Linked DNA regions of Callithrix jacchus. The protein of the gene in region 2 interacts with the protein of the main gene of each other region in a biochemical or structural test. Links are inferred from orthologs where the notes say so. Each region holds a gene or a part of one and is shown on either strand. Other genes may lie near its edges. The genes, in order: AKT1, PDK1, PDHA1 and RPS6KB1.

Evidence for each region.
Region 1: of the proteins of PDK1 (region 2) and AKT1, one has a biochemical effect on the other in vitro, tested with the Homo sapiens proteins (3 studies listed by BioGRID and IntAct, with this or other methods). The link is inferred for Callithrix jacchus from reciprocal best matches to the Homo sapiens genes PDK1 and AKT1.
Region 3: the proteins of PDK1 (region 2) and PDHA1 form a complex in vitro, tested with the Homo sapiens proteins (2 studies listed by BioGRID, with this or other methods). The link is inferred for Callithrix jacchus from reciprocal best matches to the Homo sapiens genes PDK1 and PDHA1.
Region 4: the proteins of PDK1 (region 2) and RPS6KB1 form a complex in vitro, tested with the Homo sapiens proteins (2 studies listed by BioGRID and IntAct, with this or other methods). The link is inferred for Callithrix jacchus from reciprocal best matches to the Homo sapiens genes PDK1 and RPS6KB1.

The regions. Positions count from the first base shown.
Region 1 is NC_133509.1:139,649,490-139,653,054, reverse strand, and holds part of AKT1 (RAC-alpha serine/threonine-protein kinase), read left to right. Parts: intron 1-51; coding exon 52-196; intron 197-2,428; coding exon 2,429-2,557; intron 2,558-3,565. UniProt on the Homo sapiens protein: AKT1 is one of 3 closely related serine/threonine-protein kinases (AKT1, AKT2 and AKT3) called the AKT kinase, and which regulate many processes including metabolism, proliferation, cell survival, growth and angiogenesis.
Region 2 is NC_133507.1:56,928,917-56,932,481, reverse strand, and holds part of PDK1 (pyruvate dehydrogenase (acetyl-transferring) kinase isozyme 1, mitochondrial), read left to right. Parts: intron 1-1,446; coding exon 1,447-1,631; intron 1,632-1,918; coding exon 1,919-2,014; intron 2,015-2,736; coding exon 2,737-2,814; intron 2,815-3,565. UniProt on the Homo sapiens protein: Kinase that plays a key role in regulation of glucose and fatty acid metabolism and homeostasis via phosphorylation of the pyruvate dehydrogenase subunits PDHA1 and PDHA2.
Region 3 is NC_133524.1:19,816,498-19,820,535, forward strand, and holds the start of PDHA1 (pyruvate dehydrogenase E1 component subunit alpha, somatic form, mitochondrial), read left to right. Parts: upstream 1-1,220; 5' UTR 1,221-1,320; coding exon 1,321-1,377; intron 1,378-4,038. UniProt on the Homo sapiens protein: The pyruvate dehydrogenase complex catalyzes the overall conversion of pyruvate to acetyl-CoA and CO(2), and thereby links the glycolytic pathway to the tricarboxylic cycle.
Region 4 is NC_133506.1:94,532,490-94,536,054, forward strand, and holds part of RPS6KB1 (ribosomal protein S6 kinase beta-1), read left to right. Parts: intron 1-1,080; coding exon 1,081-1,193; intron 1,194-2,235; coding exon of another isoform or gene 2,236-2,251; exon of another isoform or gene 2,252-2,253; coding exon 2,254-2,491; 3' UTR 2,492-3,565. UniProt on the Homo sapiens protein: Serine/threonine-protein kinase that acts downstream of mTOR signaling in response to growth factors and nutrients to promote cell proliferation, cell growth and cell cycle progression.

The DNA.
Region 1 (3,565 bases), on a different chromosome or scaffold from region 2:
AGTGGGCGGCCAGCCCCGACAACAGGTGCCCCAGAGCCCCACTACTCCCAGCTCCAGGGCTGGGGTGACACAGGACGGCACAAGTGGAGGAGCCAGCACCACTGTCTTCATGGCCAGGGGCTGGAGCCGGTGCCCAAGGGTGGCAAGACCACATCTGCCCGGCAGCCTGACGGGCATGGAGGGCTCAGCAGAGTGGGTGAGTGAGCCCCCTGGTGAGTGCTCCCGGGCATAGGGGCAGATTCTGAGCTCTGGACCCTTCTCCCTGCGACTGGGCATGTGTCATCCTCTGGAGGTGTCAGGCTGCCATGGATGGGCTCTGACTATCCCCTCCTGGGTCCACCTCAGAGCTGGCAACAGCTTCTCCCCACACTCAGCTGCTGGGTGGGGTGTCCCCCTCGCCACCAGCATCCCCCCAGTGGCCCTGGATCTGGCGGAGCGAGGGCTGGTCCTGTGGAGGCCATGCCCTGTGGTGCTGGTAGGAGGGGCATCGGACAGCCGGGGCTGGGGAGGAGGGAGAGGTCACCTGGCCTGGGGTGACCATTTGCGAAGCCCTGGTGGCTCACCTCTTACAGTGAAAACTGCCTGTGGCTTCCCGGAAGGAGAATGCCCTGGCTGCAGGGATGCCGGGGCCCGTGCCCTCTGAGTTCCCTGGGCCGCTGCTGTGCTGGGACGTGACCTGTGCACCAGGGAGGACTGGGCGCGCCTGCACTCACCATGTGGACTGAGCAGGGCTGGGGGTGGGTGGTCCGGTGATGGGACAATTGCTTGTCCCCCACATCCCTCCAGGTGTCCTGGTCTGGGCTCAGGTTGATAGGAAAACCCAGGCCCCAGAGCTCAGGGACCCCCAACCCTTTACCCTGCCCAGCGGCCTCTCCGATGAGGCCGTTGCCTCATTAGTAAGTTCCCCGTTGTTCAAATTCCTTGCTTGGCAAAATGTAAGTGGAACATTTTTTTCCGAGTGTCAGTATGAAAAATGGTCGTTGCTGGGCTGTCACTGGGGCAGCTGCTCCGATTCTGAAGTGCGTATGGCTGATGCGGCAAAACTGGAGGGAAAACGTTCCGTGCACCTGAGTGACCCACGGGTGGGACGCAGCCTGAACACCCTCTGTGCCCGGGGCCCCTGCCCAGCTGGCTGGGCCACCTCTGGGTCTGGCTTCCCTGGCAGTGCCCAGGATGGTGCTCCAGGCCCCTAAGACAGGGAGTGCTCTGCCAGAGCAGTGGCCGCTCCTGTCCCAGGATCCTGGCCCTCGGTCTCAGTGGTGCTGAACCAGGATCCCGGCCCTCGGTCTCAGTGGTGCTGAACCAGGATCCCGGCCCTCGGTCTCACTGGTGCTGAACCAGGATCCCGGCCCTCGGTCTCACTGGTGCTGAACCAGGATCCCGGCCCTCGGTCTCACTGGTGCTGAACCAGGATCCCGGCCCTCGGTCTCAGTGGTGCTGAACCAGGATCCCGGCCCTCGGTCTCACTGGTGCTGAACCAGGATCCCGGCCCTCGGTCTCAGTGGTGCTGAACCAGGATCCCGGCCCTCGGTCTCAGTGGTGCTGAACCAGGATCCCGGCCCTCGGTCTCACTGGTGCTGAACCAGGATCCCGGCCCTCGGTCTCAGTGCTGCTGAACCAGGATCCCGGCCCTCGGTCTCAATGGTGCTGAACCAGGATCCCGGCCCTCAGTCTCAATGGTGCTGAACCAGGATCCCGGCCCTCAGTCTCAATGGTGCTGAACCAGGATCCCGGCCCTCAGTCTCAGTGGTGCTGAACCAGGATCCCGGCCCTCAGTCTCAATGGTGCTGAACCAGGATCCCGGCCCTCGGTCTCACTGGTGCTGAACCAGGATCCCGGCCCTCAGTCTCAGTGGTGCTGAACCAGGATCCCGGCCCTCAGTCTCACTGGTGCTGAACCAGGATCCCGGCCCTCAGTCTCAGTGGTGCTGACCTCTCACTTCGGATGCCGTGCTCCATCCTCTTGGTGGGCAGGGGACAACAGCTGTGCTGGGCAGCCCACACGTGCCATTGTCACCTGCAGTTGCCACCTGGCCAACGCTGGTTGATTGGGGAATGCTCTCATCCCTGCAGCCCCTGCAGCCATAGCTGGTGCCTCCTCCTCCAGGAAGGCCATGTGGATTGGCTCAGACCTCCTCCAGCCTCCTGTCAATGGCTCTCCATCCCCTGAGTCCAGCTGGCCCAGCCCGTTTTCAGACACAGCTAGGGGTGGCTCTTCCAAGAGGGTGCTGTGGTGGGGCGAGTCTGCCTTCCTGTTGACCCAGGGCCGTTTCTGTCGCTGGCCCTAAGGAACACACCCCACCCCTTGCCTTCTCCCGGGGACTCAGGCGTCTCAGGCATGTGTGTCCTGGCACACCGGGTTGCTGCCTGGCTGCGCAGCGGGGGTCTGATGGGCAGTGTGTGTAGCCCTCACCGCCTGCCCCCTGCAGGGGAGTACATCAAGACTTGGCGGCCACGGTACTTCCTCCTCAAGAATGACGGCACCTTCATTGGCTACAAAGAGCGGCCGCAGGACGTGGACCAACGCGAGGCCCCCCTCAACAACTTCTCTGTGGCACGTGAGTGTCCCCCTGGCCTCTCGGGGTTTGGATTTGGGAGTTGGCTGGAGCCCTTTATACCCACCAGGCCCCACAGTGGGGTGCCCTGCAGCCTCCGTGTCCTGGGCCAATGAGGAACGTGCACCGGCTGAGTGGGGGTCTCTGGGTCAAGTCCCAAGGCTGAGGCTGGCTGAGTGGGGGTCTCTGGGTGAGTCCCAAGGCTGAGGCTGGCTGAGTGGGGGTCTCTGGGTGAGTCCCAAGGCTGAGGCTGGCTGAGTGGGGGTCTCTGGGTCAAGTCCCAAGGCTGAGGCTGGCTGAGTGGGGTCTCTGGGTCAAGTCCCAAGGCTGAGGCTGGCTGAGTGGGGGTCTCTGGGTGAGTCCCAAGGCTGAGGCTGGCTGAGTGGGGGTCTCTGGGTGAGTCCCAAGGCTGAGGCTGGCTGAGTGGGGGTCTCTGGGTCAAGTCCCAAGGCTGAGGCTGGCTGAGTGGGGGTCTCTGGGTGAGTCCCAAGGCTGAGGCTGGCTGAGTGGGGGTCTCTGGGTGAGTCCCAAGGCTGAGGCTGGCTGAGTGGGGGTCTCTGGGTGAGTCCCAAGGCTGAGGCTGGCTGAGTGGGGGTCTCTGGGTCAAGTCCCAAGGCTGAGGCTGGCTGAGTGGGGGTCTCTGGGTGAGTCCCAAGGCTGAGGCTGGCTGAGTGGGGGTCTCTGGGTCAAGTCCCAAGGGTGAGGCTGGCTGAGTGGGGGTCTCTGGGTGAGTCCCAAGGCTGAGGCTGGCTGAGTGGGGGTCTCTGGGTCAAGTCCCAAGGCTGAGGCTGGCTGAGTGGGGGTCTCTGGGTGAGTCCCAAGGCTGAGGCTGGCTGAGTGGGGGTCTCTGGGTGAGTCCCAAGGCTGAGGCTGGCTGAGTGGGGGTCTCTGGGTGAGTCCCAAGGCTGAGGCTGGCTGAGTGGGGGTCTCTGGGTGAGTCCCAAGGCTGAGGCTGGCTGAGTGGGGGTCTCTGGGTCAAGTCCCAAGGGTGAGGCTGGCTGAGTGGGGGTC
Region 2 (3,565 bases):
AGAAGGCCGATAAGAACATGATTGCAGGCCTCTAGTTTATACTCTGTGGCTTGTAAGATGATGTAAGTAATATGACAGGTTTAATAACCCCTGTACTGGAATTGGTAAACCAAAGTATTTGTCTTATGCAGCTACCTGCTTATTGCAATGAAGGGTACTGACTTTGTAATGACCACTTCTTGTCCTCAGTTAGTTACCCATATTTTTTGGACTGTCTTTAAAGGGTACAGTAACACTTCATTTTTTTAACATTTTAATCTGAAAATAACATTTAGCAAGAGTTTACTCCTTGCCTAGATATTGAGCAAACCTCACATGAATGTTTTTTAATCTTTAAAACAGTTCATTGAAATAATGCTATTTGTGCACAAAGAGGGTAAAGTAGCTTAAGGTTACGTGGTTAGCAAATGGTAGAATCCAAGCAGTCTTAATTTAAAAGTAAACATTATGCTATAGAGCCTTCTGAAAACATTCATTCGGAGTTGTAGAAAATAAATTGAGTAGTCAAGCAGAATAACACAGATTTGTGTTTCTTTTAAGAAAAAAGAAAATAAATCAATAAAAAGTGACTAGACTGAGGAGTTGTTGTTTTCGAAGAGTTTTGTTGTTTGTATTTTGTTTTAACAGTCTTGTTTTGAATCTCATTACAAACTAGGAATTCCAAATATCTTTTAAGCAGTAGAAACATTGGAATAAGTTAATAATACTCAGGATGATAACTTTGAATAAGAAAGCATTCATTTAGAAGTGTACATTCAGATTGTTATGTTAGAAAATTGGTTTTGTTACTGCTAATTAAGGCTTTTTTTCTCTTTTATTTATTTCTTTAACCATGTAATGTCTTCTAAGTGACAGAAGTGGGAAGGCTAGATGATTTGAAGATTTGTCTTTTAATATAATTGTTTACTTTTCCTCTCCCCTTTTATAAACTCATAAGATGAATGAAATGAGAATTCTTTTTTGTTTTTCTGTCCTAAGTGTTTCTTCTCTCTTTGAACCCTAGGGAAGAGTTCCAAAACAGGCAGGCTTTATTGGCTCATTCATCTGGATTCCTTACAGAGCATGTGTCCTAGAGTGCTTTGTCTTCTATGCAGAATGTCTCTGGAATACCATACTCATAGCCAGTGCTCAGATGACCTTAGTTGATAACAGTTAAAGAAAACCATTAACATTTTTAGGATTATGTTTTGTGGCAGCCTTACTCTTAGGAATCCAAGAAAATAATTAAATTTTGAAAGTTTTATTTTGGAGGCACTTATACTTGAATGGATTTGGTATATTTTATGATCTGAAATACATGTAAATAAGTATAGGAAAACATGAACCGATTTTTCTTTTACTAAGTTAGGGATTTTTTTTTGTCTAGTATAGCTTGTTAAACTTAAATTTTTGTATTAAACTTACTTGTCAAAATATTTGGCTGTTTTGACAGATGGGTTTGTTTAGCTTTACAGATACTGTGATACGGATCAGAAACCGACACAATGATGTCATTCCCACAATGGCCCAGGGTGTGATTGAATACAAGGAGAGCTTTGGGGTGGATCCTGTCACCAGCCAGAATGTTCAGTACTTTTTGGATCGATTCTACATGAGTCGCATTTCAATTAGAATGTTACTCAATCAGCACTGTAAGTGGCCTCAGTCAAGAGAAGCGGCTAAATAAGATGTGTTGGCATATTTTAAATTTATTTAGAAAACTTCCTTTTAGGTAGAAAATTTAGTTTTACTTTTTTGCTAATTAGGAAAAGTAAATAGACTGCCATCAAGAAAGGTATTTTTATTTAATGTAAAATACTATGTTTATCCTAAAAGAAAATATTTGTTCTACTGTTTGGTACAATTGAAACAGTATTCACATTTGGAAAAGAGCATTAAGTAGTTTAGCTTATTTTGTTTGTTTTTTATTTTTGGATAGCTTTATTGTTTGGTGGAAAAGGCAAAGGAAGTCCATCTCATCGAAAACACATTGGAAGCATAAATCCAAACTGCAATGTAGTTGAAGTTATTAAAGGTAAATCCTAACATTTCTCCTTGCAAAAAAGATACAAAAATCAAAATTATTGATTGTTATTTCTTACTATTAAAGCAGCTGTTTGCATCATGAGATAAAATGGCAGGCACACATGTGTGGGTTTGAAAATAACTTTATAGTATTATTTGTGCATTGTATATAGGATGACTATTTTATTCATATAATTATTTGTTAGGCAAAGTTTGATAAACCTTTTTGTTGTTGTTGTTGTTGTTGTTGTTGAGACAGGGTCTCACTCTGTTGCCCAGGCTGGAGTGCAGTGGTGCTGTCTCAGCTCACTGCATCCTCTGCCTCTTGAGTTCAAGCAATTCACCTGCCTCAGTCTCCCCAGTAGCTGGGATTACAGGCGCCCAATACTATGCCTGGCTAATTTTTGTATCTTTAGTGCAGACGGACTTTCACTTTGGCCAGGCTGGTCTAGAACTCCTGTCTGCCTCAGCCTCCCAAAGTGCTGGGATTACAGGCATGAGCCACTGAGCCCTGCTGAGGGTATCTTTCACTTAAAAAACAAAAAAGACCTGAGCAACGTAGTGAGACTATGGCTCTACCAAAAAAAAAACAAAGACTTACCCCAAACTATCAAAGTATATTTTCTTTTATAGAAAGTTTAAGATTTTCACTTGTCAATACTATTGCCATCTTAATGCATGAAACAGAAGTGTATATATTAAATCTTTTCTTTTTGTTTTTATTTGCACCAGATGGCTATGAAAATGCTAGGCGTCTGTGTGATTTGTATTATATTAACTCTCCCGAACTAGAACTTGGAGAACTAAATGGTAAGCCTGATGTTTTGTTTTCCTCAATAATTAGTGCTTTGATTACTTGGTAAGGGATAAGAATTTAAATGTTTTAATGGAAGATGACTTTTTCCTCAACTGCATTGTATATAAAGGCTAAAGGAAAGTAATCATGTGAAAAGTGTATATACAAATATATATATGTAATTTAGTCAGATTGTCAAAAATATTGGCTTTTTGTGCCTCATTGTCTTTATTTTTAATTGATAACTTTGATTCTTTGCTTATTTTTTATTTTCTGTTTAGTCATAGAAAAAAAATGATGCCAAGAAAGTTACATTTGACTTTTACATGCACTTCAGTAATGTAAGACTTACCCTTTTTCTACGTCATGAGTTGTAAATACTTTTCTCTTGTTGAGGGCATAGAAAGCCTAGGGTTTTAAAAGAGGAAAGAAAGATGCTGATCTATTTGAGAGTCTGTTAGTCTCTGATGGTTTTCATTTTAACTTGATTAGTGCTTTTTGGACAAAAGGGTTGAGATGCCTTGCAAGGGGATTGATGAGTCTCTTTCCTGAGGCATGGTAGTTTGACAGAGAAAAACATTTCCTACGATGACACTTTAAGAAGGTGTGGTAGGAAGAATAAAATGAAATAGGCTTTTACTAAGCTGTATCCTGGACCTTAGAGTGAGAGAGCAGTGAAGTTATACAATTGAAAATAGAATTGCTTGGTGGTTTTCTAAAGCCATATTAACTCTTCAGTTCTGTAATGGTAGCATAGCATTTGAT
Region 3 (4,038 bases), on a different chromosome or scaffold from region 2:
ACACACACACACACACACACAGGCTCTTCCTCCTGGAATATGACTGACCTGAAAACGTGTGAAGACACATCCCATCTTCTCTGGTTTTACTGTTCATCTAATTTTCTGGTCTCCTCCTGGCAGGAGGACTGTATTTTATCTTGTGGAACTCTGGTCCGTGGAAATTGAGAGGAACTCACATGTGTGTCACTTCTGGGCAGAAGCTTTGAGAGCCGGTTTAAATGATCCCCTTTCCCTTCATCATGAGACAAGCTAAGTTCCAGAGGGTTGCCAAACTATGAGGGACCTGTGTTATGGGCAAGATGGCTTGTGTTACTTCAAATCCTTGAAGTGCCTGAAATTTGGAGGTCAGTTGTTGCCATAACATAACCGAGCCCATTCTAGTTAATCTGTTTTCTTCCTAACTTCTTTAATCGTTCTTCATAAGTCACAGTCTCAGCCCCTGGCCATTCTGACCACTGTCCCGTGGATTCCACTCAGTTTAGTCATTATCCCGCTTGAAATGTGGAGCCTAAATCTAAACCCGGAACCCCAGGTGCAATCCCTCTAGGGCACAATAGAATGGGTTCCTGAGCCCTTTGATCCTCTGAATAGACCCTCTCCTTGCTTTGGTGTTTGTCTGTGTGTGTGCTTTTATCCGTTGAGCCACTCTGTTGACTCGCAGTGAGCCTGTGAACCAATAACTAGAGAAGTTAGTGACCTTTCGACATATATCGGGAAACTGATTTTTTGATCCGCGTTCAAGTAGACAGGGCAGAATTTTCGAACCGCTACGTGATCTTTTAAAGACAAGTTAGTGGTAGACCATTTACAGAAACTAGGTGTTTTGTCTTTTGGCTTCGAGCACGTTGCTAATCTTCTTCATCTCGTGTAGTGAGCAAAGGCTGCGCAGCTGCAGCACCGGTAGGACTAGGCGCTCGGTAGGACGGGGCCTGGACTACCGGGGTCCCCGCCAGTCTGCAGGGCGGAATCTAGGAAACATCCTTTTCCGCGGCGCCCTGGAGGAGGGGCCCCACTTTCCCACGCAGGCGCTCTCAGGCCCCCGCCTCCTCACCCGCCCGCCGCGTGGCGACGGAGAGCCCGCAGCCCTCCGCCTCTGGCGCCGATACCCAATGTGCAGCCGCAGTCCTTTCGCAGGGGCGGGGCACTCCCCGGACGCCGTTCTGGTTGGCCAGCGGCCCGGCGCAGCGCATGACTTCATTACGACTCGGTTACGCCGCGCTCCGATTGAGGCGTGGCATTTGCTGGGGCGCCTGAAGGAGACTTGGGGGCACCCGAGTAGTGCCTCTTGGGCTGTTAGGAGTTGCCACTGTCTGCTTCATGAGGAAGATGCTCGCCGCAGTCTCCCGCGTGTTGTCTGGTGCTTCCCAGAAGCCGGTGAGACCTCCCAGGCGGGCCGGGGTGGGGCGCGAGCGGGGCCGGAGCGGGGGCCGGGCCACCCAGCGCGGGGTGGAAGGCTGTAGGGGAGCCGGGGAGCCTTTACTTTGCCTCCACGCCCTGCATTCCGTTCCTGGCCCCAGGGGAAGCGGCGCGGACAGGGATCCCGCCAAGGTCCGTGTGGACTTCCCCCTTCCGACTCCCCCCTTCCGCTCCCGGACCCAGCTGTGCGCCGGGCGAAGTCGGTGTGCTGTGTGCTGAAGAGGTGCCTTTTGGTTGACAGGACACGGAAAGAGGGGCCTCGGCCTCCTTCGAGTCTCCAGTTAACCCCAGTCATTTCACATCTTCCTTACTTAATTTCTCTTGACGGAGAGGCTTTGTAATAAATAGCGTACAATCTGGAGACCGGGTGGCTCCGTTCAAACAGCACCCTCACCATTGACCAGCCCTGTGACCTTGAGCAAGTTTTTAAAGGTCCCGGGGATCCTGTTTCCTAAAATGTTTGCTCTAGGTGGAGTTAATCTCTAAGTGGAGATAAGAGTCGTCTTTGAAATGTTATCAGTTAACTCTAAAATGGAGAGATAATAGAGTCCCCACCTCTTGGGGTTGTCTTGAGGATTCAACGAGTGACACGTGCGGAAACGGTTCCAACTAGCACCTGGCACATAGTCGATAGCAGGTGTGTTGAATGGTGTTATTTATTGAGTGCCCAGTTCGGTATACATGTCTTGAACACCTGTGCTCAGTTGGGAGGCGGGTTCACAGAGAGTCAGCCTCTTCGGAAACAAACTTCCTCCCCTTCTCTCTCAACATCTCAGCTTTTCTTGGCAGTGAGTTCAAGAGCGCTGAACCGGAACTCAGAGGACACTGCCCTCCCCTCACCTGCAAAGTCTTGGGGTACAAGTAGCTAAAGCAAACAGCAACGATGCTTGAGGGGTGGGGGTTACAGTTAGGGATATTTCATGGCTTAAGCATTTAGAGGTGCCTAACACCTAAGCTTCTAGCATTCTGACCCGTAGGCACAGTGAGGTCGTGTTAATCGGTGTAACTGCAGCACTCTTGATTCTGGCCCTGGTAATTCCCCCCAGGACTTGATGTCTATGACATGGCCATGTGTGGCTCATGCCTGTAATCCCAGCACTTCGGGAGGCCGAGGTGGGCGGATCACCTGAGGTCAGGAGTTCGGGACCAGCCTGGCCAAGGTGATGAAACCCTGTCTCTACTAAAAATACAAAAATTAGCTGGGCGTGATGGCAGGCCCTGGTAATCCCAGCTACTCTGGAGGCTGAGGCAGGAGAATCGTTTGAACCCGGGAGGCAGAGACTGCAGTGATCTGATATCAGGCCATTGCACTCCAGCCTGGGCAACAGGAGCAAGACTCTTTCTTTAGAAAAAAAAAAAAAAAAAAGGTTGGGGAGGATGTCATTCCCTTTAGGGGTATCTGTGAGTAGAGGGCTGTGCTGGTAGGCAGGGGCTCAGAAGCACCCTTCCCTTAGGCACCTGATGTAGGTTGTTTCTTCTGCAAGTCAGGTTTTCTGTATCAATCTGCAGGATTCTTCCCCCTCCTCCACCTTACAGAAGGAATAAAATAGAGTTCCAGATATGAAGTCACTTGAGAAAGTGCCCAGGTATCTTTCCACTTGGTGGTGTAAACTCTTCAGATAATTAGAAGTTTTCTGTGTCACTGTACTTGTCATGGTCTAATTAATTAGGAACCATTCCCGAAGCTTCTAAGGGTAGTACTAAGTTTCACCTGGATCTTTTTAAAGGGTGGAATAATAAACTCTAACCTGTTGACTCTTTGTATTTTGTAATTCTTCATACATGTGGATGTCTTTTTACTTAACTATAACACAAAATAGATCAAGGTTTTAATTTTCTATACTTTATAAGACATTTTGCATATAAGCCTTTGCCCAAAGTCCAGACAGTACACGATGAGCAGTGGCTCACCCAAATTAGGCAGACTTACTGGAGTCCTGCCATCTGTGTGATACTCCGTGAAGGGACGGACCAGAGAAGGGGAGGCAGCTGGTCTGATGGCTGTGACACAAGTTACAGCCTTAACCTCCCAAGACACCGTGTGTTTTTTCCTTTTTTGTTTTTTATTCTCCCTGGTGTCTGTTTTGTTTGAGACAGGTCTCCGTCACTCAGGCTAGAGTGCAGTGGCTTGATGACAGCTCACTACAGCCTCAGCCTGCTAGGCTCAAGTGATCCTCCTACCTTAGCCTCCCGAGTAGTTGGGAACACAGGCATGCACCACCACGCCTAGCCATTTAAAAAAAAAAAAATTTTTAATAGAGCCATGGTCTCGCTCTGTTGTCCAGTCTGGTGTCCAACTCCAGGCTCAAGCAGTCCTCCCACTTCGGCCTCCCAAAGTGCTGGGATTACTCTCACTCTCTAAAAGGCAGGCAGGGAGATTTATCTCAGGCTTAAAGATTGCCATTGTCTCATCAAAGAGTGTCTGGTGTGAAACTTTGAAATGAATTACAAGATTGTGTTTTCATTTTTGAATAAGGTTTATCATTTTCAAAATTCTTATTTTGTGGATGAAGACAGAATTGCATTTTAAAATGTTGTTCTTTTATTGTTTGCATTTCTGTATGACACCTTTTGTGAAATCTTTACTATCAGTGTTCTTTTGACTTTATAAGTGGTAGG
Region 4 (3,565 bases), on a different chromosome or scaffold from region 2:
AAATGACAGCTGGTAGCCTAATAGGAAGGTCCAAGAGAGGACTAAAACTAATAAAACTGCATTATTGCCTATTACAACTGAATGTTTTTGTAATGTTGATACTTACTCATCAAAAAAATACCAAATTCTAGCTGGGCAATGATCACATGTGCCTATAGTCTCAGCTACTTGCGGGGCTGAGGTGGGAGAAAAGCTTGGGTCCAGGAGTTTGAGGCTGCAGTGAGCTATGATATCACCACTGCACTACAGCCTGGGCAATATAGGGATACCCCATCTCTTTAAAAAAAAAAAAAAAAAAAATCTGTCCAACCATTGGCATAAAACCAGAAAGGTCATAAGATTAGATTTTGATGCCAAGTCAGAAAATTGTTTTTACTTGGCCTAATTATGAGAATCTGTTTTGGGGTGATAATCTTAGTTGCTTATATGCCTGTGGCTGGAAAGACTAGAAGTTTCTTTGCATTTCTCCTAATATTTAACTTTTTTTTCTTTTTTGAGACGGAGTCTTGCTCTTTCACCAGGCTGGAGTGCAGTGGCGCAATCTCGGCTCACTGCAACCTCCGCCTCCTGGGTTCAAGCGATTCTTCTGCCTCAGCCTCCTGAGTAGCTGGGACCACAGGCGTGTACCACCATGCATGGCTAATTTTTGTATTTTTAGTAGAGACAGGGTTTTACCACATTGGTCAGGATGGTCTCGAACTCCTGACCTCAGGTGATGTGCCTGCTTCAGTCTCCCAAAGTGCTGGGATTACAGGTGTGAGCCACCATCCCTGGCCATATTTAACATCTTCATATGGAGCCTGAATTTTTCTTTTTTTTTTTTTTCCTATTCCTGTCAATAGGATGGAATTTTGTTTGCCAGCATCTTGGGCTCAATAGCATTCTGCTTTCTTGAAATGCGTGCCTCACAAAATGGCTGGAAGGAGGTTAACAGGTCTAAAAATGAGGTTGAGGAGATGGGAGAGTATACACATTGGTGGTTTTAGGTGTGCATCATTGTGTTGGTATGTCAGACTGAACAACCCCATTTTTTTGAGATACATGACAAAATACCATTCTATAGTCCACTGTTTCTTTCAGGGTTTTACATATGTGGCTCCATCTGTACTTGAAAGTGTGAAAGAAAAGTTTTCCTTTGAACCAAAAATCCGATCACCTCGAAGATTTATTGGCAGCCCACGAACACCTGTCAGGTATTTCACACTCTTATTTTCACTTCTTTATTTTTTCTTTTTAACAACTTACAAGAGTGTTGCTTAATAAATTTATGCCAAGTTACATAAATGACTGTCATATTCTCTTTGACATAAGCACAGCATCGATATCTTACATTGCAAAGGACTAGTCTGACTATCTATGATGTTATATCGTTTACCTTCCCTTCTGAAAGTAAACAGCCACACTGGCAAATGTCCTCTTTATCCATTCACTCAGCATTTATTGTGCACCAAGAGCTGTGCTACATACTGCATGTTATGTGTGTGTGTGTGTGTGTGTGTATATATATATATATATATATATATATTACCATAATATAGGAATTGTCCCTGGCCTGATGAAGCTTACAATTTAGTGGGAGTGATGTAGGATACAATAATAAAGGATACACAAAATACACACAATAGACAAAGGATCACAAAAATATGTAATTACAAGTAGTGCTAAGTGCTATAATTTAAAAGGGGAAAAAAGGATGTGGTAGACAGCAGAGGAAAACAAGGAGGTTTCTACTCTCAGTGGTTAGAGAAAGGCCTCCCTAGAGTAGTAACATCTAGAAGTGAACAGAAAGAGACAGCCCTACAAGCAGAAGAACAGCAAATGCAAAAGCCCTGAGGGAGGAGAAAACTTGCCCTTTTCCTGGAAATGAAAGGGAAATCAGTGTTCCTGGAGTGTCTGGTGAGTGAGGAAGAGAATAGCAGAGGTTTAGAAAAGTATTGTATTTTAAATGCAATAGAAAGCTGTTTTGAGCAGGGGAGAGTAAAATGATATATATAATATGTGTACACACACACACACACACACACACACACACGGGTTTTGGGGGTCAGCTGTAGAGGTAAAGAGACCAGTTAGGAAATTCTAACAGTCTAGGAGAGAGAATGGCCCAACTTTTGCCTTTGTGCTAATTCACATGAAAATAAAATTAAATGAAAATAAAGTCATATTTTCCCACTCCCTTTAAATGTAAAGGAAATACTGTCTTGTTAAGATGATCCTTAAACAAATGAATGATAGCTCTTCCTTGTCTTAAAGCCCAGTCAAATTTTCTCCTGGGGATTTCTGGGGAAGAGGTGCTTCGGCCAGCACAGCAAATCCTCAGACACCTGTGGAATACCCAATGGAAACAAGTGGCATAGAGCAGATGGATGTGACAATGAGTGGGGAAGCATCAGCACCACTTCCAATACGACAGCCAAACTCTGGGCCATACAAAAAACAAGCTTTTCCCATGATCTCTAAAAGGCCAGAGCACCTGCGAATGAATCTATGACAGAGCAATGCTTTTAATGAATTTAAGGCAAAAAAGGTGGAGGGTGATGTGTGAGGATCCTGCAAGGTGAAACAAGAAGACTCAAAATGACAGTTTCACAGAGTCAATGTCATTACATAAAACACTTTGGAGAGAGGAAAAATAAACGTGGATTTAAAAAAATCAATCAATGGTGCAAAAAAAAAAACTTAAAGCAAAATAGTATTGCCGAACTCTTAGGCACATCAGTTAATGGATTCCTCGCAACATCTTCTCAACCTTATCAAGGATTTTCATGTTGATGACTCGAAACTGACAGTATTAAGGGTAGGATGTTGCTTCTGAATCACTGTTGAGTTCTGACTGTGTCGAAGAAAGGTTATCCTTTCATTAGGCAAGTACAAAATTGCCTATAATACTTGCAACTAAGGACAAATTAGCATGCAAGCTTGGTCAAACTTTTTCCAGCAACATGGAATAAAAGACAAAAGAAACTTACCAATTGATGTTTTACGTGCAAACAACCTGAATCTTTTTTTTATATAAATATATATTTTTCAAATAGATTTTTGATTCAGCTCATTATGAAAAACATCCCAAACTTTAAAATGCGAAATTATTGGTTGGTGTGAAGAAAGCCAGACAACTTGTTTCTTCTCTTGGTGAAATAATAAAATGCAAATGAATCATTGTTAACCACAGCTGTGGCTCGTTTGAGGGATTGGGGTGGACATGGGGTTTATTTTCATTAACCCAGCTGCAATACTTGTCTGTAATATGAGAAAAAAAAAAAAAAGAATCTATTTAATCATTTCTACTTGCAGTACTGCTATGTGCTAAGCTTAACTGGAAGCCTTGGAATGGGCATAAGTTGTATGTCCTACATTTCATCATTGTCCTGGGCCTGCATTGCACTGGAAAAAAATCGCCACCTGTTCTTATACCAGTATATTTGATTCAAGACGCCAAATGTGTTCAGCTCATGGCTGAAGAACAACAGAAGAGAGGGAGATAGGGATATCAGGGGAAGAGGGTGTTGCTATGGCCCACTCTCTGTCTAATCTCTTTACAGCAAATTGGTAAGATTTTCAGTTT